Linked DNA regions of Rattus norvegicus. The main gene of each other region encodes a partner of the protein of the gene in region 5 in a complex. Links are inferred from orthologs where the notes say so. Each region holds a gene or a part of one and is shown on either strand. Other genes may lie near its edges. The genes, in order: Agk, Timm10, Timm22, Timm10b and Timm29.

The links.
Region 1: the proteins of Timm29 (region 5) and Agk are in contact, whole or in part, in a cryo-EM structure (PDB 7CGP), measured with the Homo sapiens proteins. The link is inferred for Rattus norvegicus from reciprocal best matches to the Homo sapiens genes TIMM29 and AGK. Residues at the interface, in NP_612367.1 of Homo sapiens: Tyr145, Gln146, Cys149, Arg150, Tyr151, Leu152, Gln153, Arg155; in NP_060708.1 of Homo sapiens: His33, Asn36, Arg39, Arg40, Cys43, Gln44, Gln47, Asn51, Lys82, Pro86, His89, Leu90.
Region 2: the proteins of Timm29 (region 5) and Timm10 are in contact, whole or in part, in a cryo-EM structure (PDB 7CGP), measured with the Homo sapiens proteins. The link is inferred for Rattus norvegicus from reciprocal best matches to the Homo sapiens genes TIMM29 and TIMM10. Residues at the interface, in NP_612367.1 of Homo sapiens: Asp181, Asp183, Ile184, Asp186, Phe189, Leu192, Leu196, Arg197, Val199, Gln203, Leu204, Ser206, Asn209, Glu210, Leu212, Phe213, Asp214; in NP_036588.1 of Homo sapiens: His30, Arg31, Lys32, Cys33, Pro35, Pro36, Leu43, Ser44, Lys45, Gly46, Glu47, Ser48, Val49, Arg53.
Region 3: Timm29 (region 5) and Timm22 share a complex: the UniProt entries of both Homo sapiens proteins name them as parts of the TIM22 complex. The link is inferred for Rattus norvegicus from reciprocal best matches to the Homo sapiens genes TIMM29 and TIMM22.
Region 4: Timm29 (region 5) and Timm10b share a complex: the UniProt entries of both Homo sapiens proteins name them as parts of the TIM22 complex. The link is inferred for Rattus norvegicus from reciprocal best matches to the Homo sapiens genes TIMM29 and TIMM10B.

Annotation. Positions count from the first base shown.
Region 1 is NC_086022.1:70,146,538-70,151,836, reverse strand, and holds part of Agk (acylglycerol kinase, mitochondrial), read right to left. Parts: intron 2,292-5,299; coding exon 2,144-2,291; intron 1,608-2,143; coding exon 1,510-1,607; intron 1-1,509. UniProt on the Homo sapiens protein: Lipid kinase that can phosphorylate both monoacylglycerol and diacylglycerol to form lysophosphatidic acid (LPA) and phosphatidic acid (PA), respectively. Does not phosphorylate sphingosine. Phosphorylates ceramide.
Region 2 is NC_086021.1:90,312,512-90,318,544, reverse strand, and holds the start of Timm10 (mitochondrial import inner membrane translocase subunit Tim10), read right to left. Parts: upstream 3,407-6,033; 5' UTR 2,842-3,406; coding exon 2,771-2,841; intron 355-2,770; coding exon 153-354; 3' UTR 1-152.
Region 3 is NC_086028.1:61,749,673-61,755,716, reverse strand, and holds the start of Timm22 (mitochondrial import inner membrane translocase subunit Tim22), read right to left. Parts: upstream 4,032-6,044; 5' UTR 4,020-4,031; coding exon 3,788-4,019; intron 1,483-3,787; coding exon 1,286-1,482; intron 188-1,285; coding exon 115-187; intron 1-114. UniProt on the Homo sapiens protein: Essential core component of the TIM22 complex, a complex that mediates the import and insertion of multi-pass transmembrane proteins into the mitochondrial inner membrane. In the TIM22 complex, it constitutes the voltage-activated and signal-gated channel.
Region 4 is NC_086019.1:169,390,595-169,395,459, reverse strand, and holds Timm10b (mitochondrial import inner membrane translocase subunit Tim10 B), read right to left. Parts: upstream 3,106-4,865; 5' UTR 3,085-3,105; coding exon 3,055-3,084; intron 2,913-3,054; coding exon 2,817-2,912; intron 2,648-2,816; coding exon 2,471-2,647; 3' UTR 1,804-2,470; downstream 1-1,803. Other genes in the region: Arfip2 (arfaptin-2), read left to right, coding at 4,195-4,293, 4,508-4,604. UniProt on the Homo sapiens protein: Component of the TIM22 complex, a complex that mediates the import and insertion of multi-pass transmembrane proteins into the mitochondrial inner membrane.
Region 5 is NC_086026.1:28,418,810-28,424,808, forward strand, and holds Timm29 (mitochondrial import inner membrane translocase subunit Tim29), read left to right. Parts: upstream 1-2,560; 5' UTR 2,561-2,795; coding exon 2,796-2,910; intron 2,911-2,989; coding exon 2,990-3,678; 3' UTR 3,679-5,530; downstream 5,531-5,999. Other genes in the region: protein YIPF2, read right to left, coding at 1-53, 132-248, 1,234-1,321, 1,754-1,834, 1,918-2,072, 2,364-2,394. UniProt on the Homo sapiens protein: Component of the TIM22 complex, a complex that mediates the import and insertion of multi-pass transmembrane proteins into the mitochondrial inner membrane.

The DNA.
Region 1 (5,299 bases), on a different chromosome or scaffold from region 5:
ATATTCTCCCCAATTGTCATTCTGAAGTTTATCTTTTTAATGCATCAATATAAAATTTGCCTTAGGTGTCATGCTTAGAAAAGCTCCTTTGTACTTTCCTACTTTATACTGATAATCATTTAAATTTTACTTAAGTAAATTTTAAAATCATTTAAATTTTACTTAATACTTAAGTATTTTCATTATTTTGAGTTTAGTTCATTAATTCAACTGGAATTATTTCAGAAGGTAAAATATCTGCAAATATTTTACAGGAGATGCAAATTACTTGCATAAACAGAAAACAAGTCAATACTACTCCAGACATTAGCCTTCCCACTACCCTGCAGCTCCACCTCCCAGTTCTCGGACTGGCCAGCGTAACAGTGAACAGACTACTCAGGTTTTCATAAAAGCAGAATATGTTATAGTAATTAGCCACAGTGAGAAAGACCTACACTGGAACTCTGTTAACGGAAGTAATTAAAGTTTTCTCCTTTCCAGGCTCAGTATGCTTTTTCTAAAAATGGCCAAATAGCAAACATCTAGGGCTGGGGCCACATGGTCTCTTTTACTCTGTCCCCTCTACCACAGTGCAAGGGCCACAGGAGAAATGCAGATAAAGGACTGCATTCCTCTTACAATATTGCTTTATATACAAATTCTGGAATGTGACTTCCACATGTTTCATGTTCCATAAGCTATCATTCTTTTAACTTTCCATCATTTAAAATTAGAAAATCAATTCTTTGCTTATAGGCAATATAAAGGCAGCATATAGTAGGGTTTGTTTTATTTGCCTTCTTGTGTTTTCTGGTAATTTTAGTGAACTATCTACAGCAGCACTGGCCAGTGGAATTGTCTAAACTGCTGGAAACTCTCATCTGCATGTTTAATATGACAGCAAGACATATAGCTGTAGAGCCCTGACATGACAGAGAAACTTCTCTTTCAACCCACGTAATATGAATAGCCACATATGACAAATAGCTTTGGACAGTCCATGTCTACAGATCATATCCAAATTAAATCACATTGGCCACAAGTGGCACACAAGCCTGTAAGTCGACTATGTGGGAGGCTGAAGCAGGAAGACCACAGTTTGAGGCTATCCTGTAGCATGTAGCAAGATCCTATCTCAACAGGATCCCCACATGTATAGCTATAGATCTGTGTGTCCTGGGGAGTCTGAGTCTATGTATTTAATATAGTCAAAACATAATGCATATTTACTCAAGTGAATGTTCAGCTTCTCTCTAACATTTCACTTCTAAAGCTTCCGTCTGCATCCTCCGGGCCACCCAATCATGAAGAAAATGTGTGTTCCGAGAGCCTTGAGCTCCTGTGTCCCGATGCACTCAGCTCCCACTTCTCAGTGCTTTGTTACTCAAAGGCACACTACCCCTCCCTTTCCTTGATCCTTTCATCTCTATGCCCACAGGGTAAAGTAGAAAAATAACTAATTAGTGCAAGAAAAGCACCTGCCACTGTTTCTCCAGACACCAAATTCATAAAAATGAGTCCACTTACCGTCAGGTCAAGTTGGGTGTTTCGGGTTGTGATGGACAGTTCAATGGTGGACAGTTGTACATCTTTCCAGACCTCAGGGCTCACCTCTGGGGAGAAGGCTGTGGAAATCCATCAGACATAGGCCAGTGTTTCTACTAACATTTCTCTCTGTGTCTCACTCCCAACTACAACACCACCAACCCCAACACACAGACACATACACGCACGCACTCGTGCACGCGCTCACACACACACAGCAAGCGAGCGAGCGAGCGAGCAAGAGAGAGAGAGAGAGAGAGAGAGAGAGAGAGAGAAAGTATTGAGCTGCTGGTAGTCAGCTTCCTCAGCCCTTTGTCCAACTCTAAACTTTACTTCATCTTTCTGATACACAGGGATAAACACCAGGTTCTCTGCCTAAAGCATCCTCACCGACAGCAGCACAATAGCACAGATGTCAGTGACAAAGAGTACAGGAACTGCAGCACCTAGTGATAAGACATTGAAGCCTGCCCTGACAGCACCCAGGAGTCTGACTTCAACAAGGTTGGACTGGCTCCTCCAGCACCAAATGATTATCTAGTACTGATTCTGGGTGTCCACTCCAGGCCACTTCTAAGCTGAACAGGGCTTGTAATCTAGTCACCATGTTGCTCACCATCCTGTGGCTGTGCCCAGAATGAGGCAAGCCTACGTAATATTCTCCTGTACAGAGAAGGCCGGGGAGCAGCATCTTCAGGCCCAATGGGAGGTCTCTCTGTAGGGCCCGTGTAAGAGATGGAGGCCTGATGGGTCTGAGGCCACTCCTGTTAATGAAGAAGAAAATAGCTTTCATCACGCACACATAACTCCTAACACGGGGGCTTTGCTCTGCAAAGGTCAGAATTCTAATAATTTGTCTCTTCAATAAACAGAGTTCTCCCCATGTGGAAAAATGAAGGCTTCAATTTTGCCTTAAAAACCATGAACATAGTGACTATGGTCTCTGTTATGTCCCCTAACATACGACACAGAGAAAAACAAATTGAATTGACAACTCCTCTTCACGCTTACTTATCCACAATAGGAATGAACACGAGTGAGCAGAGTGGCCCCATGATAAACATCAATTTACAGACGGCACACAAACATGTAATGAAACCAGTTGCATCAAACACCTACTTCACTGCTGCCATCAGACTCCATTTAGAGGACAGAATGCAAATGCAGCCTAAGGCCTCTTCACTGCTTCAAAGCCTAGCATTCTCACACTAGATATCTGTACGATACATTTTTATCTATTATTACTATTATTATTATTACTACTACTATTATTACTATTATTACGTCTGTGTGTGTGTGTGTGTGTGTGTGTGTGTGTGTGTGTGTGTGTGTGTGTGTCTGTGAAAGAGAGAGAAAGAGAAGGAGGGAGGGATCCCTGAATCAGAGCCTGACACTTATTGGGTGGGGGAGTCACACTGCTGAGTTGGGGAGCCTATCAGTAATACCACAGACTCTCAGGTTCTGGCACAGATTCTCTTGACTCTTACAGTTAAATACTCTGTGCCACCTTTACCACCTGTCCTCCTGCTTCATTTTCAGAAGCACAGCTTCAAACTGTCTTCAAAGAATGTCAGGTCCACCAGGGAGAAAGTCCTAAATCTCTCCATTGTCAACCTTGGTCTGGACCGAACCGCTACTTCTCTCCTGTCTCAGCGACAAAGGAAGCCCTTCCTCTGTGCAAGCGCCCTGGATTCCAGCCTTCTGTACCTGTGTGGGTTTAACACCTCAGTCATCTTGTCTGTCTCCCTTCTCTTCACTTCCTACTCCTGCTTTGGTGCATGTAAAAACACAGCCATTTGCTCTCTTAAAAACCACTGCTCGGGGCTGGGGATTTAGCTCAGTGGTAGAGCGCTTACCTAGGAAGCGCAAGGCCCTGGGTTCGGTCCCCAGCTCCGAAAAAAAAGAACCAAAAAAAAAAAAAAAAAAAAAAAAAAAAAAACCACTGCTCTATTGCCTTCTGTTTCTCTCAGGTTACCTTTTCTGTCTTCTCCTCTTTCAAGTCAAGATTCCTGAAGAGAAGACAGTCTATCCTGAGTGTCTGTGTTTTTCTTTCTTTTTTTTTCCTTTTTCTTGTTTTTCTTTTTGTTTCGTTGTTTTGTTTTTCGGGACAGGGTTTCTCTGTACAACCCTGGAGTCCCGGAACTCACACTGTACACCAGGTTGTCCTCAAACTCAGAAATTCCCCTGCTCCTGCCTCTTGAATGCTGGGATTAAAGGTGTGCCCCATCACGTCCTTTAACTGTCTCCGTTTCTTCACCTACCATGTATTTCTTAGTTTTCTTTGCTATAATCTAACCCTCTTACTTTGGAACCTGACAAACTTCTGGCAACTCCCAATTTCAAAGACAGTTCCCTTTTCGTACTGGAAACCTTCGGCAGCTCCCCGTTCAGAAGACGACCTCCAGTTTTCATTTAGACTCTTCCCATTACTTCCTAAAACTTGTACTTTCTTTCTCCTGAAATTCCTCTTTGATTGGCTGATATGTTGGGGCTCTCTTTTGACTTTTCTCTTAGTACCATCACAGTTTTGTTTTTTTTTTTTTCTTCTAGTTTTCTAAATGTTTACGGTCCTTTGTGCTTTTCCTGGCCATCAATTCTTTTTTTTTTTTTTTTTGGGGTTCTTTTTTTTCGGAGCTGGGGACCGAACCCAGGGCCTTGCGCTTCCTAGGTAAGCACTCTACCACTGAGCTAAATCCCCAGCCCCCCATCAATTCTTATTTACAAACCCGCACTTTCAATATCCTCAAAACATGGACACACATTTCTTCATCCCAGGGCCTCTTTCTGAGTTCCAGACAGAATCACAACTGTAACTACACATATTTGAACCAAAGATATGCTACACTCACCACACACAAACCAAAACTTCATCTTCCTCCACAAACTTGGTCTTACCATCATCAACATTAATACAAAACGAAGTTACCCAACTCTAGTCCCTCAGACTAGAAATCTGCCAATCTAATATTCTTCAAGCTTCTGAGAATTTTACTCCAGTAGCACTCCGCCATTAACAACCCTACTCTAGACCACAGCACTTGCTCTTTCCTGATCACTGGATGACTCTGTCAATCTGATATCTGCGGGCTTTGCCTACAACTAGGCATGCCCACCTCCTTGTGCACATTGAGGCCAATTTTCCCACAATGCAGATCTGAGTACATCCATACTTCCCTTCTGGATCCATTTGCACACATTCTACTGCACCAGCCTGAATTTATGACCATGGTTTATCACAGTGGCTTCATACAGTCCACGTCTCTATCCCAAGTGCCCTTTATCCAGTTCTAAATTTAGCATAAATGCCACCTCCCTCATGAAAGCTCTCTGATCCTCTGTCAAGTTTAGGAGGCCCTCCTCTGTTCCTGGGTTGCCTGTCCACATTTCTCCCCTGCCGTCTGTCACGCCACGGATCCACTGCACTTTTCTCTGGCATATGATTATGTCCTGAGGCCAGAGGGTCTGTGAAGCTTGTGCTCTAGATGGCAAGCACAGAGCAACAAGCACCTGATAAACACTGAACAGAAAGTGTCCACAGGACCTAGAGGCTGCCATCTTAACACAGCTACAGCTGCCTCCCAGGGTGCTGCTACTTAACCAGTGAAATTGTTCTCTTTAACAATAACATTTTACTAACCAATTTGAACTTAGGAGTAGAAAAGTCTTGCCTTTTCTATTTTATTTTTTAAATTATGTGTGTTTACTCCAAGTATTTTACTGATTTTTAGTTTTTTCATTTAATTTTTCAACCCAACTGGAATTTCTTAGAGAG
Region 2 (6,033 bases), on a different chromosome or scaffold from region 5:
GTCCCCTTCCTTAGCCAGGAGAGCTCTACCACACGCAGGGGTCCTGGAGATGCTCAAGGGCCTAAGTATGACAGTTTTCACATGTGACATCCATTAGGGACACTTTAATCAGAGGTGGCAAGGTGCACCACGGGTGTACATGGCCCGGGGCCTCATGCAGGCCCAGAGCTCTGCTGTACCCGCTTCATCAGCTCTTCATCCTGCATAGACAACTCTGTCAACTTTTTTCCCATCCTCTCATGGATGTCCAAGTACTTGGATACGCATCGGTCCAGACACACAGACTCGCCTTTGGACAGCTCTGCCTCCTTGTAGTGGGGAGGCACGCACTTCCGGTGGCAGGCACTGGTCATTCTGGGTTAGAGAAGAACAAGGTTGTATCAGTAACTTCCTACAGCATCCCGGGAACCTTCAACAATTCCAACCCTGCTGGACTGATTCTTGTCTGGTTCCTCCCTCAAGAAAACAGTAGAGGGCTGGAGAGACGGCTCAGCGGTTAGAGCACTGACTGCTCTTCCAGAGGTCCTGAGTTCAAATCCCAGCAACCACATGGTGGCTCACAGCCATCTGTAATGAGAGCTGATGCCTTCTTCTCCTGTGTCTCGTGTGTCTGAAGAAAGCTACAGTGTATATATTAAATAAATAAACCTAAAAAAAGAAAAGAAACTTTTCTTCAACCAGTTTGGAAGGTTCTTCCAATAAGAATCTTCTCTGAGTCATGTACAAGACTAGTTAAAGCAGAAGCACTTGCTGAATACTGGCTGTGTGCCAGCCATCATGCTAAGGGCTAATACAGACTCTGTTAGGCAACCCTCACAGTAGCCCAGTGGGGTAGGCACAATCATTATCCCCACTTTACAGATGAGGAAATTAAGACACAGCTCAGTAATTTGCTAAATATCACACAAAGCTAGGTAGTCTGACTGCACAGTCTGCATTTTAAAAACCATTCTAATTTATAGTCTCAAAAACAAACCAATCAATGAAAAGAGCTGCTGACAAAAACCAGCAGATACCTGCTGTTTCCTGTATGATATGCTAGATGATAAAGTATAATACTGTAATGTCTGTATGGCATAGCACCTCTTATGCCAGTTTTACTGATGAGATAAGCAATTATGAGACATTCAGCAGTGACTGGCATACCAGGATGCTTCCAAATTGGCCTAACAGCTACAAGCAGTAGTTGTGAAGTCAGCCTCAAGTTCTGGCCTGACATTGTTGCTGACCAGCTACAAAACCTGAGATTAGTAAACCCCTTAATACCTCAATTCCCCTATGTTAAAATGGTACTAATAAAATTAACCCACTGCTCTTCTTTCCTTCCTTCCTTCCTTCCTTCCTTCCTTCCTTCCTTCCTCTCTTTCTCTCTTTCTCTCTCTCTCTCTCTCTTTCTTTCTTTCTCTCTTTCTTTCTTTCTTTCTTTCTTTCATTCATTCATTCATTCAACTATTTGGCTTTGGCCTCCATCTCTGAGTATAGGCACCCACCATGCCGAGATCAAACCAAGGGCTTCCTACATTCTAGACAAACATCCTATGTTCCACCCCATTCTCCCTTTGAATTATTTTTAAGTATTTACAAAAATGACAATGGGGGTCTGGAAAGTAGTTAAGAGAACTTACTGTTTTGCAGAGGACCTGGGTTTGGTTCCCAGCACCCACATGGCAGCTCACAACTATCTTTGACTCCAGTTCCAGGAGATATGATGCCCTCTACTGGCCTCTGAGGGCATGTGATGCACATGTATATACACATGCAAGCAAAACATACATACATATAAAACAAATAAATTAAAAAAATTTAAAGTGGGGGTTGGGGATTTAGCTCAGTGGTAGAGCGCTTGCCTAGGAAGCACAAGGCCTTGGGTTCGGTCCCCAGCTCCGAAAAAAAGAACCAAAAAAAAAAAAAATTTTAAAGTGACAATGTATATAAAATGCTTTGCAAGTGCCTAACACAGAGATAAAGTTTAATAAGGATCAAGTGCACACACTTTTAATCCCAGCACCCAAGAGACAGAGACAGATCTCTGGGAGTGAGACCAACCTGCTCTATACAGATCAAGCCAACAACCAGGGCAACACGGAGACGCCCTATCTTGAAAAACAAGAACAAAAACGCTCACCCCACCTCTCCCCCAAAAAGGAAGAAAAAAATTAATAAGTACTAGCTACTAAATACTATTAACTACTAAATGACTGTTCAGATGGCTCAGGAGGCAAAGGCCCTTGCTGCCAAACCAGAAGATCTGAGTTCAATCCAAGATGGAATCCTAGTAAGTTGTCCTTTGACCTCCACATGTGAGCTGCTATAGCATGCATGTTGGCATTCATAAATAAACACAAAATACAGAAGCAAAGGTAATAAAATGGGCTATTAGAAAATAAAAGAGGGGTTGGAGATTTAGCTCAGTGGTAGAGCGCTTGCCTAGCAAGCACAAGGCCCTGGGTTCGGTCCCCAGCTCCAAAAAAAAGAAAAGAAAAGAAAAGAAAGAAAAGGCAGTGCTTACTTGTACTTGATACTCAGCAGAGCCTGAGCAGGAGACTTTCCTTCACACCCCTTTTACTCCCTCTAAATAGCCAACCAAGTCCTTCCAGTGACCTGTCTTTACTTCAGCCAAGCCCGCAGTAATGGTGGGACGGGATTAGGAGGTTGGGACTTGGCTCTACTACCTTAGGGAAAGCATTCCTTACAAGTCCTTCACTCTATCGCGGTAGGGGTGACGAGGGCTAGTTTTCTGGACAAGGTGAATCGGAGTGGTTCTCTTTACCTGTTGTACATGTCGGCCATCATCTCCACCTCCAGCTCCGCTGCCAGTTGCTGGGCTCTGAGCGGATCCATGTCAACTTAGCACCGTGGAGAAAATAGCCTCCTGGTCTTTAGTCCTGGGAGCGTACATGATAAGTCAGCACCGACCCCTCCACATTCACTCTAATACCCACCCAGGGGCTGGAGGGCGCGAGGGGTTACAGCGTTTCAGACCAGCAGGGACCAGTACCCTAAGAAAACGTAGTCAGCCCTCTTACCAGAAGTGGAAATGAGGCCCTTAAAGGGGACAGTGTCCAGTTCAAGGTCACTCAAGATGTCATGGGGCTCGGAGCTGGAAACCGAGAGCTCTCAGTATCTCGAAATCACTCCTAGCCAGAGGACCGACATTAGGGGCAGAGCACACAAAACCCTGGGCCTGAACCCACGCAGCCCCGAGAATGTGACCCTAACCACAACATAGGTTCCCAGGGCCGGTCTAAAGGCTGCGCCTCTGTCATGGCAATGGCATAATCAGGGTCAGCCTGGGGATCAGATACCATGGCTCACTCACCACGGCCTGGGGTAGGTCACAGCTCCCGCAACGCCCCCAACTTCGGGTCAATAGTAAAAAGTTAACCGGGTACCAAGATAGGCGAAATAAGAAGCACGTGGGTCACTTCCGGAAGGAAGTCTAACCTCTTCTTTGATCCGGAAGAAAACGCAAACCAGGCGGCTCTGGGAAACCGGCTACCATAGAGAGGAGCCACTGGCTGAAGAGAAACCTACTTCAATTTGCTAGAGTGGACTCCAAAGTATCATAGAGTGCGGAGTCAATGGCAGAGCGCCGACAGCCTTGTTAGCGTTCCATCCCTCTGGTTGTCCGGGAGACTTCTGAGTGTTTGGAGTGTGGAAAAGGCTTGGCTCCCTGAGCCTACCATGGAGAGCCCACGCCTGAGCGCAGACGGATCTTTTGTGAAGAAGGGAGAACGTTTCCCAAAGGAGCCTGTCAGTTTTGCATGTTAAAACCACCTGGAGCACTTTTTTAAAAACCTCAACGCCCAGACGTTACCTCATACTCGTGAAATCAGAGTCCCAGGGAGTAGGACCCAGACTTTAGTAAATGAACAAACTGCGTTAACTGGTGGGGTTGCAGAAAGAAGGATACAAAATCGCTGCTCGCAGAAAAAGGAAACATGTATAGAGGTCTTCTGTGCTTGCTTTTGAGATAGGGTCTCATGGAACCCAGGCTCTCTAATTTGCGGTGTAGCCGAAGATGACCTAGAACTTATTTCCTGCCTCAACCTCACTAGGGCTGCGGTTACAGATGAGCGCCGTTATGCCTGAACTTTGCAGTGCTGGGATGGAAGTAGGACCACATGCTACAGGCAAGCGCTCTACCAACTGCCCCAGCGCTGCAGCATGTTTTACTGCACTTCTTTATCATAGCCATACACATGCACAATAAATAAAAAAATAAATGTAACAATAAGAATTATTGGCTTTATCCTTCTCTTTTTCTTTCTTTCTTTCTTTCTTTTTTTTTTTTTTTTCTAGGCAAGCACTCTACCTAACTGAGCTAAATCCCCAACCCCTTGGCTTTATCTCCTTTTTTGGTTCTTTTTTTCGGCGCTGGGGACCGAACCCAGGGCCTTGCGGCTTTATCCTTTAAAACTATTTTTATTAGGGCAAATCTGCAACACACAGAGAACACAGTCTAATGAACTTCATTGGTGATTTGGTACAGTGTGAGATGATCTGGGCCAGAGAGTCATCAGTGAAAGCAAGGAGAAATGATGAGGAACACCAAGATTTAATATTTTTTTAAAGATTTATTTATTTATTATAAGTACACTGTTGCTGTCTTCAGATACATCAGAAGAGGGCATCAGATCCCATTACAGATGGTTGTGAGCCACCATGTGGTTGCTGGGATTTGAACTCAGGACCTCTGGAAGAGCAGTCAATACTCTCAACCACTGAGCCATCTCTCCAGCCCCAATTTAATAATTCTTGATATTTAGTCGCATTTTCTTGATCTATTCTTGTCTTTAGCAGATGAAGTCTTTTTTCCAAAGTGCTATTTTCACATTCTCAGCTAATAGTGATTTTTTTCATCTCTCTTCCACGGTGCTGAAGGAATTGTAAGCAAACACTCAATAACTGAACTATACAGTTCATTTGACATACTATTTTTAAATTTAAATTTATTTATAAGAACATGCACCCATGGTGGAATCGAAGGGCTTGTGGAGGTCAAAGGACAACTGGTAGAAGCTGATTCTCTCCTTCCATCATGGGAGTTCAGAGTAATCAAACCCAAGCTGTCAGGCTTGGGGGTAATCACCTATATCAGCAAGCCATCTCACCAGCCCACTTATTTCCTAATGTAATCTATTGACAACTTAAAATTTATTTATCTTTTTATGTTTGTGTGTGAGAGAATGAATTGTGTGCTTGGAGGTCAGAGGACAACCTCAGGTTTCCATCCTTAACTTTAACCATGTTTAAACAAGATCTAGTGTTTGCTGCTGCCTATACCAGCCTAGCTGGCCTGAAAGCTTTCAGAGATGCTCCTGTCTCTGCCTCCCATCTCACCATAGGGTCTTGGAATTGTGGACCCATCCCACCATGTCTGACGTTAGATTTGTTCTAGGGATCTCAAATCAGGACCTTACTACCACAAAGAAAGCTCTTTCGCCACCTGAGCCATTTTCCCAGCCCTATTGCAAGTATTTTCCCCAACTTCTCAGAAGGATCTTTTTACTGTACTTAGAACATTTAACAAAAGACACTCTACTTGTACTCGATAGTGTTATTCTCTATATGCACTGTATTGCACAGAAGACCTCTAGAAGACCTTTATCTTGCATAACTAAAACTACACACACTGAACAACTTCCTACTTCCCCTCCCTTCAGACCCTGGAAAATCATTGCTTTTGCTGACAATGGTGCTACCGTTATTATTGCTATGTGGCCCTGTCTTTCTTTTACTGTAGAAGAATTTTAACCCAGCAACATGGTTGCTTTGGCAGGAGATCCTATCAAAGACCTTCCAAGTCTCTGTGATCTGACTGGAGTGACATACCTTTAACATTCCCTTAGTCCCAAACATACCTTTAATCCCAAACAATGAAAGTAAAGTTAGTTTGCCGAAGAAAGCAGACATGTTTGAAAGTGATGTCTAATTGAGGGACAAAGTGATGGCTCAGAGAAAGATCTGGCTAAATGAGTCAGAGATAGGATATAGCCAACTCTCCTGAGAATAGCACAGAGAGAAAGAGGC
Region 3 (6,044 bases), on a different chromosome or scaffold from region 5:
TTTGTCAGAGGGAAGGAATATCAAGCATCCTTAGAACATTCATGTTGGGAAATGTCAACATCACCACTTTGTCCCAGACCACAAAAGAAAAGCACTCGAGAGCTGTTTACCGACCTCTGAAGCCGATGGCTCCACCAGTGATGCAGCCGCTGATGACGCTGTTCTTCCAGTCTGACTTCCCCCGGTACTGTGGGGGGAGAAACGCTGTTTAGAGCCAGGGGACTGAGCCAGACAAGGCCGAGGAAGAAAACACAGCGCTCCCAGCTGCCCAGTTTAGTCCTGCTCAAACCTTTATTTCAAAAGGGCTGTTCCTAAATTGTATGTGCTTATACATGGTTCCTGCAGGTGGCACCAGAGAGCTAAAGTCAAGTCTAGCATTTGGGAAGCAAAATTTCCGTATATTCTCCAGGATAATTTTATTAATTACAATGACCTGAATTGGGGATGTAGTCCAGGTCAAGCCCTTGCCTAGTATACATAAAGCCCTAAGTTCAATCCCCAGTACCAAATAAATAAGATAAACAAAACAAAAACCCACTTGCCTACAGAAGATTTTTAAAAATGTGCAAAATCCACATAATATGTAAAAAGTTCACATTAGGGACTATTTTTTGGATGAACAATCTAGATTAAAATTGACATTTTTAAATGTTTGTGTTGAGGCAAGGTCTTTCCAGCCCAGCCTGGTCCAGATCTCATGATCCTCCGCTTCAGTTCCTGAGTGCTAAAGCTGCAAATATGGACCACATTTCTGATAGCATTCTGAAGGAACACCTCGAACACCGCTCTTTTTAAAAGCTGTGCAATGGGCTGGGTGTGCTGGCACGTGCCTTTAATCCCATCCCTGCACTCAGGAGATAGACAGGAGGATCTAGTGAGTTCCAGCCATTCAGGGTTACACTGTAAGACCCTGTTTCAAAAAAGGAGGGTGTGTGGCTGGAGAGATGGCTTGGTAGTTAAGAGCACTGGCTTTTCTCCCAGAAAGACCCTGGTTCAATTCTCTAGACTTACATGGCAGCTAGCAACTGTCTGTAACTCCAGTCCTAAGAGACCAGATACGCTCCTCTGGCATCCTCAGGCCCCAGGTACACGCATGATGCACATACATAGCAGGTAAAACATTCACATTCACATTCACATTCACACACACACACACACACACACACACACACACACACACACACACACACCCAAGCGTTTTTAAATGATTTAAAAAAAAAAAAGATAATTAAAAAGTGTACAAGGGCAACAGGAAGAGCTTTCTTAAGAAGCAAGAGGCACTTACAGACTCTACCAGACACTCAGTACAGGAAAACATGGCACCCACAATGGCAAAATTTTTGGCATAGGACATTCCTCTCTGTCCCATGTCCTTCAGGACTTCTCTTGCAGTTGGTGTCCGGTAAGGGTCCTTGGGGTCAAAGCCCACGTTGGTATCAATGCCAGCAGTAAAGACACCAAATGCGCCTCCCAAGACAAATCCTAGAGGTAAGCAGAGATAAGAGTTCTTTTGCACATTCTCTAGTTTACCATTTGGGGATGGTAACTGAAGATGGCCTTTCTGGTCTCTTGGCACTCGGTCCTGATCCGGCTTTCCTCACAGTACAGTCGGAGTCTACCCCCACAACTCCTCTAGGATTTATGCCTTTCAGCTTTAACCCTGTTCTTCAGCTACCAACGTTGTATATGACCTGTAACAACACTCATACAGTCACTCAGTAAGGAAGCATCATGTCCCCGCTACTCTGGAATATTCCTTATTTTTCATAGTAACTTGTGAGGTAGATGTTACTATCTCCCCTTCCTGGCTTTTCTGTTTGAGGGCCTCACTACATAATCCCGCTGGCCTCGAACCTGACACTGTAGAACAGGCAAGCTCCAACTCCAGAGGTTCATTTGCCTTTGCTTCCCAAGAGCTTGGATTAAAGGTTCTGAAACCACCATCCACCCTGCCTCTCTAAACCAAACCCTGGAGAGGTTAAGTAACTGTCTTCAGAGTCACATGAATATTAAACATGGAATCCTATGTTTCTGTCAACAAATGCCTTGTCTGAGCCTTCTTTTGTCTGTGAGTGTAGGCCAGAGTGGGTGCCATTCCTCAGGAATTACCCACCAATTTCTTTTTGTTGTTGTTGTTTGTTTGTTTGTTTTCTAAGACAGGGTCTCTCTGTGTAACAGCCCTGGCTATCCTGCCTCTTCCTCTCCAGTGCTGGGCTTAAAGGCCCCATAGCCTCACCCAGCCATACCTGGCTTTTTTACATAGATGCTGGGTTCTGAACTCAGACCTTCATGTTTGCATGATAAGCACTTTACCAACTGGGCTTTCTCCCCAGCCATTTCTGTATGATGTCTTTTCAAGATGATCACCTCAAGATCAATGTAAGCTCAATGAAGCTAGACCCCTCCTCTCCTGGTCTTGCTTTCTAATCACTTCAGCTCCAAAACTCTATCTCTTCTTTCTACTTATTTGTTTGTTTTGATTTTTTAAATATTTATTTATTTATTTATTTTATGTATATGAGTACACTGTAGCAGACACACCAGAAGAGGGCATCAGATCCCATTACAGATGGTTGTGAGACACCCTGTGGTTGCTGGGAGTTGAACTCAGACCTTTGGAAGAGCAGTCCATACTCTTAACCACTGAGTCATCTCTCCAGCCTGGTTGTTTTGGTTTTTGAATTAGTTTCTCAGGGCTGGAGAGATGGCTCAGTGGTTAAGAGCACTGACTGTTCTTCCAGAGGTCCTGAGTTCAATTCCCAGCAACCACATGGTGGCTCACTACCATCTATAATGAGATCTGATGCCCTCTTCTGGTGTGTCTGAAGACAACTACAGTGTATCCATATACATCAAATAAATAAGTCTTAAAAAAAAAAAAAAGAATCAGTTTCTCTATTATGTAGCCCTGACTTTCCTGGAATTCACTCTATAGACTAGGCTGACCTGGAACTCTTGAGATCTGACTGCCTCTTCCTCCCCACTATTTAAGATTTGAACTCCTGTATTTTTAAAATGTTCTTCATTCTTAACGAAATTTAAACTCATCTACAAATAAACAACCTTTTTACCTGTACACTATAAGTATGCTGTACATTCTCAAACCCTGGAAGATTAATATGTGTATGTGTGTGTGTGTGTGTGTGTGTGTGTGTGTGTGTGTGTGTGTTGTTAACATCCATCCCAGCCTCACCCCGACTAATCACACTGGCCTTCGCTGTTTTTTGTTTTTGTTTTTGTTTTTGTTTTTTTTTAATTCTGAGACAGGGTGTCTCTATGTAGTCCTCCCTGTCTGTCTGTCTCTGCCCACCACCACCACTCCCAGTGCTGGGGTTAAAGGCTTGGGCCACCATCACCCAGTAATAATTTCCAAACTCCAAACTCCTGCCTTGAGGACCTTTGCATTTGCAACTCTACAGCATTCTTCTCTTTGCGTCCTAATATTCTCCTTCAGGGCTCCTGTCGCTTTCATCCATATTCCTTCTGCCGGGCACCTGACCGTTACATAGTAACAACTTAATGAATGAACGAACGAACGAACGAACGAACGAACGAACGAATAAAACGAAGAAAAGAAAGCAACAATTTAGGAACCTGCAGACCCTGACTGTGAATGTTAATCTCAGGGTCAAGAGCGGCATCTCCGGGTTCAAGGAGTCAGCCAGCCCGGGAGCGATCAAGGTCGAGATGCACAGGTTCCTCGCCTCCCAGGCGCGTGGTCTTAGCAAGGAACCTTAAAGTTCTCCAAGCCCTCAGCCTCCCAAGGGTCCCACAAGCCTCGCCTCACCTCCCACACAGGCCAGCACAGCCTTGAAGGCGCAACTTTCCATCGCCCTCTCGATCATCTTCTGCTCCTCGCTCTTGGCAGGACTCGGGATCCCGCCCAGACTGCCAGGCTCCAGAAGCCGTGGCTGACGCTTGTCGCCCACCAGGTGCTGAAGAAGAAGGCTGTACTGCAACGGAGCTTCGGCGGAACCCGCCGCCTCAGGAGCTGAAGCCCCAGCCTTGGCGGCCGCCATGACTGTACGGGCTCTAGTACCTTTCACGTCGTATTTCCCACAGCCGATTCCACATGCTAACCGAGGAGTCCGGCCAGCCTAACGACAACGGCAGATTCGCCACACTGAGGAAGCTGTAGAAGCAAGAGTCAGCCTTTGCATCAGCGTCGAGGAAGCTATCACGTTTCCTCAACGCCTCTTTAAACAGTGAACCAAGTTTGTAAGGCATTGCTAAAAACTCTGACAAGGTTTAGTAGCTCAAGAACACCCCTCAACTAGGGGCTCCATTGCGGTGCGTGCCGGGATTTGTAGTTCTAATTCGAATGTCCAACTGTATTTCCCAGAAAGCCGTGCGCACTCGCTGGCTTTGCTACTTCCTTTGAAAGCTCGTCTGAGAAGCGGCCGAAGAGAAGTCGGATCCTGTTAGGCTGCAGTTCGTCGAACTTGCAGCAGGGGACGCACGTGTCCGCTTTGTTGCCAGGCCATAAAGCAGAGCTCCAGCTACTACAGTCACTAGAACCACAGACTGGTTTACATTCTGAGATCGAATGTACGCCCTTTGTATGAAAGTGTTGAAACATGACATAAATGTGTTCAAAAAGCATTTTATTACATATTTATTAAGCCTTTAAGGAAGAATAAAGAAGGCCAACAAATGTGAGTGGTGGTCTAGCACGCCTTAAAGCCCAGACAGGCAGATCTCTTGAGTTTGAAGCCAGCCTACTAGTCTACAGAGTGAGTTCCAGGGCAGCTGGGGCTCCACAGAGAAACCATTAAGGAGAGAGAGAGAGAGAGAGAGAGAGAGAGAGAGAGAGAGAGAGAGAGAGAGAGAGAGAGAGAGAGAGAGAGAGAGAGAAGAGAAGAGAAGAGAAGAGGAGAGGAGAGGAGAGGAGAGAGAGAGAGAGAGAGAGAGAGACCAAGTACAGAGTATTGCATAGGGTACTAATGGCATACGACTATGGTAACAATGGAAGATGTCAAACCCCATGGCTGGTAGTTGCCGGGTGTGGTGGTGCACTTGGAGAGATCTGCCTGCCTCCAGAGTGTTGGGATCGAAGGCGTGTGCCACTACACCAGGCAACTTGGAATCGTTAATGCTTTGTGGTTTTTAGTGTTAGAGAGCTAAGTTTGAACTTTTTGAAACTCATTTCTTTCTAGATGCCATCCTTGTTTGTTTGTTTGTTTGTTTGTTTGTTTGAAGCAGGGGTTCCCTGTGTAGCCCTGGCTTCTTGGGGAACTCACTCTGTAGACCGGGCTGGCCTCAAACTCAGAGGTCTGCCTTGCTTTGCCTCTGAGTGCTGGGATCAAAGGCGTTGATCACCAACCATCCTATTTCTAGATGCCATTCTTGTACCTCAGTCAATGGCCAAGTGTTAGAAAATGTTGCTCCTATTACATCTTCTTTTTGATCCTGGCCTTAGTAGTGGATCTGTGATTTCCTCATTGAGAAGAAAAGATTTTCTGGGCTGCTCAGTGACAGATCCTCAGATTCTAGCCTGTTTCTGGTGAGTGGTCCAATATTCCTGGATCACATTTCCTATATGCCAACATTGCCGGAGAGTTGTTTTTTGTTTTGTTTTGTTTTTTTTTTTTTTTTTTTTCCGGGGCTGGGGACCGAACCCAGGACCTTGCGCTTCCTAGTCAAGCGCTCTACCACTGAGCCAAATCCCCAACCCCTGTTTTTTTTATGTATGTGTGTGCACACACATGGGTGTGCAAGCGTGGGTGTCTGTGAAGGCCAGAAAAGAGCGCTGGATGTGGTACACACCCCTTAATCCAAGCACTTGGGAGGCAGAAGCTGGCTAATCGATCTCTCTTAGTTAGAGGTTAGCCTGGTCTACTTATCAAGTTACAGACTAACTAGGATGACATAGCAAACCTTATCTCAAAACAAACAAATACATGAAGTGTTTTTTTTTCTTGTTTAGATTCTCTTCCGTTCCATAACAGAATGCTGATGGTCCAAATTAAAATATTTTAAGACTTTTTAAAAAACAAGCCAGCGTGATTCCAATTTTTAAAAAAGATTTATTTATTTATTATACA
Region 4 (4,865 bases), on a different chromosome or scaffold from region 5:
CAGATAATGCTGGATGTAAGAACTCTCTAGACTGAGTGGGCGTGGCATAGGTGTAACCTCAGCACTTGGAAGTAAAAGCCAGCGAATTTGAATCCAAGGTGTGAGACTGCATAGTGAGACCACCTCAAAACAAAATGAGACAAACAAAACAAAACAGTTCAGATAGTTCAGAGCGGGCTTTAGGCACATATGTTTCCTAGTCTTTTTCCAGCAATTACTAATTATGTGTGACATGGGAAGAGAGGAAACACAGACAACTCACAGCACATGTTTATTGAAGGGATACATACAGATGCTGATGTAGAGCTCTCTCAGCAGTCACACAATATCCTGGGTCTCCACCTTCCTGGTTTGGGGAATTAAGTTCACAAGCTGCTCTACTCACGTTTGTACTTGTCAAGGAGTGAAATTAATCATGTACACAGGTCACTCTGTAGGGAAGCTTCTGGTCAGCAATTTTTATATTCCTAAAGAATTATCTAGCAACCAGTTGTAGCCCATGTCTGTAATTCCAGTACCTGGGAGGCTGAGACAGGAGGATCGTATTGAAGACCAATGTGCCCACAGCAAAACCACCTAAAAGGAAAAGAAAAAAAAAAGAAAAAAAAAAAAAAAAGAAAAGAAAAGAAAGAAAAGAAAAAAGTTGTGACACGCCAGAATCTGCTTTTCAAGAACTGTTTAAGACAGGGCCCTCCTGTTTTCGTGCTTCTTTACCTGTCTAATGAAAAATACCTCCTAGTTTTGCAATTAAAAAGAGTATGATAAATTTATACAAAACAACTCAACAGACATCATTTAGAGTAGTCTGCTGTAGTGCAAAGACTATCAGGCTTGATGTCCCAGCTCACTTTATTGATAAGAGTCTTGATATAACAGCGCAGAACGCTTTCAAACTCACAATGCTTGGCCTGTTAGTGCTATGACTGCAGGCACATATAACAAGCCTTGGAACATGATTAGCCTTTCAATATGGAGTCAGCTGGGATTTTCAATTTTTTGGCTGGCCAACAATTGGGAGGTAGAGACAGGAGGATCAGGAGTTCAAGGTCATTTTTAGTTACCATTTCCAGGTCAGTCTTGGGTACATGAGACCATAACTCAAAGTAAATAAATAAAATAAATAAATAAATAAACGCAAATTTCTGACCTGTAGGTGGGGGGAGGGCAGAGAATCTGCTCTGTGAATGGTTGGTTTTCACTGTGAATTTGATTCCTTTGTAAAAAAAAAAAAAAAAATGAAAGCTGGCCACCTGTTGCAATGGTGGAGGGGATGGGATGGGATTTCAGGAAGCAGTGAAGGGGAAGTGGGTAGCTTAGTTGTTTAGAGTTCACACCAGGCAAGCACAAGTGCCTGAGTCTAATCTTCTGGGAAACAGTAATAGGTGCAGACCCCATGCTGTTGCCCTGCAGGCTGTATTATCCTCGAAGCCCCAGAAGCCCCATGTGGTGGTGCATGCCATATCCTCCTTCCTTTCCCCATCTCCACATTAGGAGTGAAGTCATGGAAATGGCAGCTGCCAGGAAAGGACTCCTCCGGAGTATAGACGTGAATCCCACAAAAGGGGGTGGGGGAATAATGAAACAAGAATAGAGAAGCTGGCAACAGGGTAGTTAGAGTACTGGAAGGTAGAGAACTGAAACTAGGGGACTAGACAGGCAGTGAAACACTGAGGAAGCACCGGGTGGAGGGTCACAGATGGTATTTAACCATCTCTCCCTAATACCATCTCCCTTTCCCTCAGGTTTCTCTTGAGGTTTGACTAATGTTGTCTTCCTGACTGACTGAAGACAAGAAAGTCCTTCTTTGTTTAAAGTCTTTATTTCTAATTTCACAAAAGCAGGAAATACTAAGAGAGTAAATTGGGGAAATGGTCAACATTCCTAAATTCTTAGAGGCTTGTCTTTGTTCTGTTGTCACTGATCTCCTAGGAAGCAGTGACTAAAACCTAAGGGGGCACTGTTTTCTTCCTGCTTTTGTTGTTTGATATTACCTTCTTCCCCTAGATCTACAGCAATTCTTTTGTCTGACAGCTGAGAATAAAAACTAGTTAAGAGCCAATGTATATTCAGGTACTTGAGTTAGACCCTAGGACAGGCACAGAGAACTCTCCTTTTGGAACCAATTTCCCATTGTTATTACCAACCTTCAAACTGTAGCCATAATCCTTGCTTTTGCTGGGGTGCTGGGAATGCTAAATTTGTCCTTCTACATACAAGAAGGTAATACATCAACTGCCAAGGCTAAAGGCACTAGACAGGCAGTAGATGACAGAATAAAGGATGGTACCAATAAAGAAAAGTTCTTGCCAAGTAAATTAACCAGAATACAAAAACGGGTTTATTGGCTCCAAGAAAAGGAGCAAGAGCACCCAGCTTTCAAGCTCAGTCTCTCTGTACATATTTAGACAAGCCCAAGGTCCATAGAGGAGCCTATCCAAGCACCTTCTCTCCTGCGGTCAGGGACAGCTAGCTAGCTGCCTGATGGCGAGTCTCTGGGCTGTTCTGCAGGAACACCTGGCACGGCAGAGGCAGCCTCGTAGTCCGCCATGCGGCGCTGGACCAGGGCGGGCATGAGGTGCACGTAAGCGGCCATGAGGCGGTGGTTAGAATGGATGAGCTTCCCAGCACAGCTGTGCAGGCAGGCCTCCTGGAAGGAAGACAGATGGAAGTAGAAACTAAAAGGGGTCCTGTCAAGCCCTCCTCCATCCTTCCCGGTCCCCAGCCTAGGAATGAGGTCATGAAAGAGAGGGGAAGTGGGGGGAGGGGGTAAGTCACATCACGTTATTGTCAACTCTGGGACCCCCCACAGTCTCCACCTCCTCAGCGTCCAGAGCTCGGTGGTGCAGGCTGGGCACACAGCGCTGGAAGCACAGTTCTGTCATCCGATTGTAGACCAACAGAAAGTCTCGCAACTGAGAGAAAAAGGAACCAAGACTTCACCACCGCCGAGGCTTCCTGGGGCGCGCAGCCCGCCTCCCCCTCTGGGGGTTCTTGCGTGTACCCCTGGAAACAAACTGCGCGTCTAACCCAGAGAGCAACTTAGCTCTCACTCACGTTTCTCAGTTGCTGCTGCTGGTGCTCCATCACGCCCAGGGCGCATGGCGTACGCCACTTCCGTCCGGAGGGGGTGGCTCTCGGAGTCGCCCCGGAAGTAAACTCTCGGTACTCCCCCAAGAGCTTGAAGGCGTAGCTCCAGGCTCGCCCTGCCCACAACTGTAAACGTCACCTCCGCCCTTTTTCTCTGCGACGTGGCCGGCTTCTTCTGCCCAGAGAGCATGTCACTTCCGCCAAATCTCTGACCTGCTGCTAGGATCGCGACGGGAACTGGAACCCGAGGTCCCCGCGCGGTCCGGGCCTCGCGCCCTGAGGGGAAGAGCGGCCCGGCCCAGGTGAGAAGGACGTACTTGGACGAAGGGAAGTTGAACGCACGAACCTGTACTGAGGGCAACATGCCCTGAGCCCTTGGCAAGGATGAGGACACACCTGATGCCCAGGTGTATGGGGGTGGGGGGTGCCTCTCACATCTGGAAGGCTTCAACTGACTTTGGAAGGGATTGCCTGTGTCCTGGTGTCCTGACACCAGGAACATTCACTAACTGCTTCAACTAAGGCCTGGTGGGGAGGGCCTGAGGGAGTCAGGTGCATGAGATGGAGAAAGGAAGAGACCAGACCATCTGAAGGAAGAGGGGAAGGAACACCAAAGGATGTGAAAGATCAGGATCGCAGAGCATGCCTGAGTGGCAAGTGAACGTCTGAGCCTAGGAAAGAGTTTTGGTAAACATGCTTATGCAGGGTTAAGTTCCCAGAGAGCATAGACCTTCCCTCTGGTCCTCACTGCTGCAATTCCATTGCCTCGGTATCTCACACATAGTAGAAACTCACCAAATGTTTGTTGAATGACTGAATGCATGAATGGTTACTAAAGGCGAGGTTGGGGGTTACGAGAAGACACCAGAGGCTTTGGTATGCATGCATTTGTAGAAATAATGTACTCAGAAGAGAATGGATACACATACTCAAGGAAAGACGTGGTGGCTGATCCCAGGACACCCAAGCCCTAAGACAATCCCTGAAACCTCTGAGAACACAGGGGAGGCCTCCTTATTCTGGAGTGCTGGCTAGTTTCCAGAATTGTCTTGTTGGGCTTTACAGCGTGCTGGGGTGGAGACCTTGACTCCTGTCCCTTCCCTAGCCATGACGGACGGGATTCTAGGGAAGGCAGCCACAATGGAGATTCCCATCCACGGAAATGGCGAGGCTGGGCAGCTTCCTGAAGACGATGGGCTGGAGCAGGTGCTTCTGTTTGATTCTTCTAATTGTCTCATTATGCAGTCCTGACTTATAAACCTTTTACTTTCCCCCATCCCAATAGCCTTCAGTTAACTAAACTCCTTCCTAGTTTTCAAATCTTTATGGTTCTGTATAAACTTTATGTGCACTGCCTCCATCCCCAAATGTTTCATCTATCCCTGTGTTCCTGAGGTGCCCCCTCTTCTCTGACCTATAGGACCTCCAGCAGGTGATGGTGTCAGGACCCAACCTCAATGAAACTAGCATTGTGTCTGGTGGCTATGGGGGCTCTGGTGACGGACTCATCCCCACAGGTATGAGTGATAGAGACAGGCTTGAGGGGTGGGGATGGGGGCTGTTAAGGCAGCTTGCCGGCACATAGGACACATACAGTAAAGCTTGACTCGTGACTGAAGAGCTTCAGAACTGCTAGTGTGAAGTTCATAGCCTGTTCAGTCCCAGACCAGCTCCAGAGTTGCCCATCTGCTTCCCCCCTGCCACTTAGTCTCTAAGATAATCTCATTTGTCTTTTCCTCCCTGCCGCCACCACCTGAGCCAAGTTAAGACCTTGAGGT
Region 5 (5,999 bases):
TGCCAGCGGCACTAGCCACGCATAGCAGTAGATGGTTATGCCTGCTATAGTCACTAGAGATGCAATGTGGGCAGTCACTGCATGCCCTTGGACCCTGGCATCCAAGAGCTGAGCCCACCCGCTCTGCTTACCCTTGTGGAACTGGGGGCTATAGTGAATGGAGGGGTCCCGTCTCTGTGCAAGCACCAAAGTGAGATTGCCAGTAACCGCCAGGACGAAGGCCAGGGTGGCACAAATCCAGAAGGGGCCTGCAAAGGGGGAAATGGAGTCCCAGGCACATTCTTCCTGGGAAAGGTGTCTATGTCCTACATAAGTGTTCTGCTAAGACCCCAGACTCCATTTGACTCTCTAAGTCACTGCTCACAAGTGCTGCAGCTGGGCTGATCCTCTCTTTCTGGAAATACCTTCTAAAATGCCTCAAGCACTTAGCTCTTTTCTCTGACAAAACTGTCTGTAGATAGGTAGAAGAGGCTTGGTGGTTCTCCACTGTGGGCAGGATCTTGTCCAGAGGCTTCATGCATTCCATCTTTATGTGTCACTCCCAAACTGCCCCAGGGCCCTGGGTTTACATGCTTATTTTTTGAAAATTCATACATATGACCTGGGCCTCTAGACACTTGATCTGCTCCTCGTACCTGTCCAGCTTTTCCTGTCCACCCATGGCAACTGTGTTGGTTAACTGGGTAGAAAGCTACTCCAGCCTTTCTCAGTCCTCTAGGTTGTGGGCATACTCTAGGACCAACAACCACTCTTCCTCACAGCCTCCAATGTAATGTCTGTGCCCTGCCTGCTCTTGTTGGCTTTCCAATGCCAGAGGAGATCCTGAAATCCTTCAGTAAGATCCCTTCCCACCACTATATGGGACTCATGTACTCATCCCCTACTCATGACTTCCCAGCTTCTTCCACTGCAATGACCTATGCCACTATGCGCAACTCACTTGTTTCCACCATGGGACCTAGAAGCTTTCTGGGTCCTCTTCTAAGCCTCTCACCACCAATGCCAGCATAACTCATTTGCCGACCCTACTCAGGGACCTTGCTGACTTCCCTATACCAGACAGCAATGCCACTCACCCTCTGAGTTAGCCAGACCTACCACCTTCTGCTTCCCTTCTTGGTGTCTCCCTCAACTAAACACAAGTCTGCTCTTTGTGCATGACTGCCCTGTTCAGGACCAGGCACAGTCCCATGTTGAATAATACTCCATTGATTCAAACATAGACCCACTTACCATATAAGTCAGGACGATTTCTAAGATGGTGACGCACAAAGTTGTGGCCAGGATGGGGCAGCAGGGAACCTTTGATCCTGTCCAAGACCTAGAGAACAAAACCAAGGGTCCAAAATGAGAACCCCTGCATTCTGAGAGGCATCCACTGTCTTGCCAGCACATCCTACCTGAACAAGCTGGAACACGTCACCCACTGTGAAGGTGGATTTCAGGCCTGCCACCTTGCTCTCAGCTTCCTGCAGCCTCTCCTCCCAGACAAAGTAAGGACAGTCTCCCTGTTCTAGATGGTCTCCCTCCTAATTTCCAGGATGTACCCTCTCAGAGGACCTGGTTTATTATTAGAGGTTGGTCTGACTGGGAAACATACTGCCTTTAAGACACATACCATCCACATCTACTTTGTAACCTAGTTTTTGCTTTCCAGTCCCACTATACCCATCCCATCCAAATTCAGTCCCCAAGAATAGTGGCTGAACCCCAAGAAACTCCAAGTCGTCACCACCAATGTCCAAGGCCTCACCTGGGAGGTGTCTACATCAAAAAAGCTCTGATAGTAGTCAAACGTCCAGAATCTTGGCTGTGGCTTTTCATCCTGTAGAAGCTATAAGACAAAGGCTTTCAGAACCTGCCTGCTTAGTCAGAGTAAGGACAGAGGCAGAGTATATCGGGGCCTAGGAGACTCACTGATGTTTTGTCATCCTCTTCCTCTCCTTCGGCTCCATAGCCAATGCCTGAACCCACAACCACAGCCACATGCTCTTGTGAGGTCAGCTTATCACTTTGGCTCGTGGTTGCTGCATCTGGGGTTTCTGCCAGAAGATTTGCAGCTTCCTCGAACTCTACGGAGAGGGAATATGGGCACAGGTGTTTGGAGTCTGAAAGGGCTGTGACTGCCTCACCACCCTCCCCTAAGGGCTGGGTTCGGTTTTGATGGACTGTAGATCTGCTCGTCTACTAAGATGGTGTTCAATTTAGGTCCTGTGCAGAGTTGGAGGCGGTGATTTGCCTTTTGAGTTCATGGAAGGAGCGGGAATTGAGTGCAGGATGAACCTGAGGTCTGGGACCCAACTGCTTAGGGTTCTAGCCTAGGACAGGGCTAGGAGCTCTGACCACTTCCGGGCTCCACTCACCGTGGAAGGCCAGATCGTCGGCTGCTGCCATGGTTCTTTGGAGGCGTCACTGCATCACACTCTGTGGACAGAACCGCATCAGTCCCACAGCCCTCCCCAAGACTAATGCTTCCGTCTGGACTCCTGCATGGAGCCTAACACACGGAGTAATGAAGCTTCAGCTCCAAGCTAGGGCCCTGCAGAAGCACCCCACCTTCCTCACCTGAAGCTACCTAAGCTGGCGTGGCTCTTGCTCCGTGCGCGTGCGCGCCGCTCGCCTACCCGTCAGAGCCCACCCTTCTCGACGCAACGGCAACATCCGGCACTAGTCCGTTTCCTATTGTCTTCCAGTGGGAAACTACTTCCTGTATCTTGCGCTTGCGCAGGATCTACTCTCCAGCCCTTTTCATTCCGGCACTATGTGTTTCCCCTCGACTGAGGAACCGCCGGAAAATGATGATGACAGCAGCTCTGAAGAGATTCTGGTCCCGTGGACGCAGTGAAGCGGGAGGAGAGGCAAGTGGTACCACGACAGTGGCGGTTAAGCCAGGGTTGTGGACGCGACTGGGTGAGTAGTGGCAGAAGGCTGCAGGGTGGGTGGCCCAAGTGGCTGAATCATTGTCACTGCAGCGCTTCTTTCCCCTCAGGCACCTGGTCCCGCGCGCTGCTTCGGGATTACGCCGAGGCGTGCGGAGACGCGGCGGCTGCTGCGCGAGCTCGACCCGGCCGCGCGGCCCTGTACGTGGGGCTGCTTGGCGGCGCTGCTGCGTGCTGTGCGCTGGCGCCCAGTGAGGCGGCATTCGAGGAGGCCTTGCTTGACGCATCAAGTTCTCTCTTGCTGTTGGCGCCGGCCACGCGCAACCGCCACTCGGAAGAGTTCTTGCAGCGCCTGCTGTGGCTGAGGGGCCGCGGGCGGCTGCGTCACGTGAACCTGGGGTTCTGCTCGTTGGTTTACGAAGCGCCCTTCGACGCCCAGGCCAGCCTCTACCAGGCCCGCTGCCGCTACCTGCAGCCACGCTGGGTCGACTTCCCCGGTCGGGTCCTCGACGTGGGGTTCGTAGGCCGCTGGTGGGTCCTGAAGAACCGCATGCATGATTGCGACATCAACGACGACGAGTTTCTCCACCTGCCTGCGCACCTGCGCGTCGTCGGGCCTCACCAGCTGCACTCAGAGGCCAATGAGAGGCTGTTCGAAGAGAAATACAAGCCGATCATACTCACCGTCGATCAGGTGGACCAGGCGCTGTGGGAGGAGCAGGTGTTACAGAAGGAGAAAAAGGATCGGCTAGCTTTGAGCGAGGCTAATTCACTAGTTCAGTCCGATGTTTCCAGGTGAAAAACGAAGGGTGCCCCCAGGCGCAGGCAAACTGTTGGCCACAGATGGTGCAGTTGGTGAGATGGGTAGAGATAAATGACCCTCGTTGTGATTTTGTGGGACGTTCTAGCTCTGTCTGTCCTGTTTGCCGAAGCTAATTGGGAGCCTTACTGGTCTTAGAGATACAGAAGAGCTGAAAGACTGCTTTCGAACATGAAGCATTTGACCTTGTGCTTACCGCTGCAAGATCTACTAATAAGGAACCTTTGCTGTGTAGCCTGTTGTTGCTGGGGATGGACTTCAAGGGTAGAGCATTTGCCTAGCATGCCTGGGTTCCTGGCTTGCATTTCCAGCACTGCAAAAACAGAACAAAAATGGGCTTTTGGTTTTTGGGATTTTGTTTATTTGGTTGCTTTTTGAGGCTCCCATATGCCCAGTCTGGCCCTGACTACTCCTGTATCAGCTCTAGTGCACAACAGTGTACACAACAGTGTAGTCCAAGATTGGGACTAAAGCCATGTGCCAGCATGCCGGCCTCGGGGTTCCCTTTTCACCATGTGCCAGCATGCCGGCCTCGGGGTTTCCTTTTCAGTTGTAGCTAAAATGTGTGTGTTGGGTTTTTTGTTGTGCTTTTTGGTTGGTTTGTTGCACTGGCTTCCCCAGAACTGGCTATGAAGAACAATCTTCCCTTAAACTCCCAGAGATTTGTCTGCTTCTTAAATTGGATTTTTTGGGTTTGGTTTGCTTTGTTTCTGAGAAGTGGTCTCACAGCCCAGACCAGCCTCAAACTCACTGTGTAGCACAGGATGACTGAACGATGGGTCCTATTGCCTGCACTTTCCACATGAAGTAAATGTCTCTGTGACGTGGTTTGTTATTGTTGGGTACTTGTGCTAGGCAGTAAATCCAGGGGCTTGTACATAGTAGGCAAGCACTGTACCCCCAGTCCTCTTGGAGTTTTTGTTTTGTTTGATAATCTCCTTATGTAGTCCTTGAGGACCTTTGACCTAGCTTGTCTTAATTAGTAACGTTGTATATTACTGTCAATGCAGGAGATAGACACAGAGGCAAACAAATTCTACTGTATGTGTGTGTGGCAGTGATTGCAAGCATTGTGGAAAGCTGGAATATGTTCCAATCCCAGAACATACATGTAGTCACATGCCATACTGCAGGGACCCTGGAAACGGTTGGAGAGGAACAGGGTGGGGCATATATGTTGGACCTAGCAAAGTTCTGGTAATTACCTTTCAAGCTAAACTATTAGGGAAGCAAAACTGCCCATATCAGGTGGACTGTGACTAGTCAATAAAAGCGGGAGATGAAGCAGTCATCTTTGTCTTGGAGTCTTGGATTTGTTTATGGTGGGAGGGCTTCACACAGACTAAGTATGTACTCTACACTGAGTTTCCCCCAGCCCTGGTAGTGTGTTTTGCCTCTTTCATTCATTATCAGGTGTATTGAATATATGGTAGTTCTTTTTGGTTGGTTGGTTTTTCAAGACAGAGTTTCTCTTTGGAGACTTGGCTGCCCTAGAACTCAAGAGATTCCCCCACAGTCTTAGCTTCCTGAGTGGGAGGATTAAAGGTGTGTGCCTCCACCTCCTGCATACAATAGTGCCTGAGTCCAAGTCTCCTGGCCAGAGGATGATGTTAATTCAAGTCTTCCTGACTGGTGAGGTGGCTCAGCCAGGGAAGACAGCCCCAACCACCTGAGTCCATGTTCTGGAACTCACACAATAGAAAGAAAGAACTAACACCTCCAAGTTGTCCTGTGACCTCCACACACACAAAACAAATTAGAATGCAATATGGGTTCCAAAAAAAAAAAAAAATCCACGTGTGAATTACAATGTGTTAATTAGTGTATATTAGTGGCGGTTCATAAGATTCACTAAAGCATTTACTAAAGCATTTCTTTTTTTTTTTTTTTTTTTTTCTTTTTTTTCCGGACCAAACCCAGGGCCTTGAACTTGTTAGGCAAGAGCTCTACCACTGAGCTAAATCCCCAACCCCTACTAAAGCATTTCTTATGTGTGTGCAAAGTGTTTTTATTCACCCCATTGCTGTTTCTTGAAATCCACTCCCACTTATATGCTTCCTCCCTTCCCAATTAGCACCAGAGTATGTGTGTGTGTGTGTGTGTGTGTGTGTGTGTGTGTGTGTGTGTGTGTGTGTGAGTGTGGGGGGGGTTGGTTGAGACTGACTCAATGTGTAATCCTGGCTGGCCTAGAACAATATAGATCAGGCTGGCCCTGAACTAACCTAGACCTCGCCTTTACCTCCCTAGAGCCAGCACTTACATTTGAATGTTATGTGTGTGGATTTAAACATGATTACAAC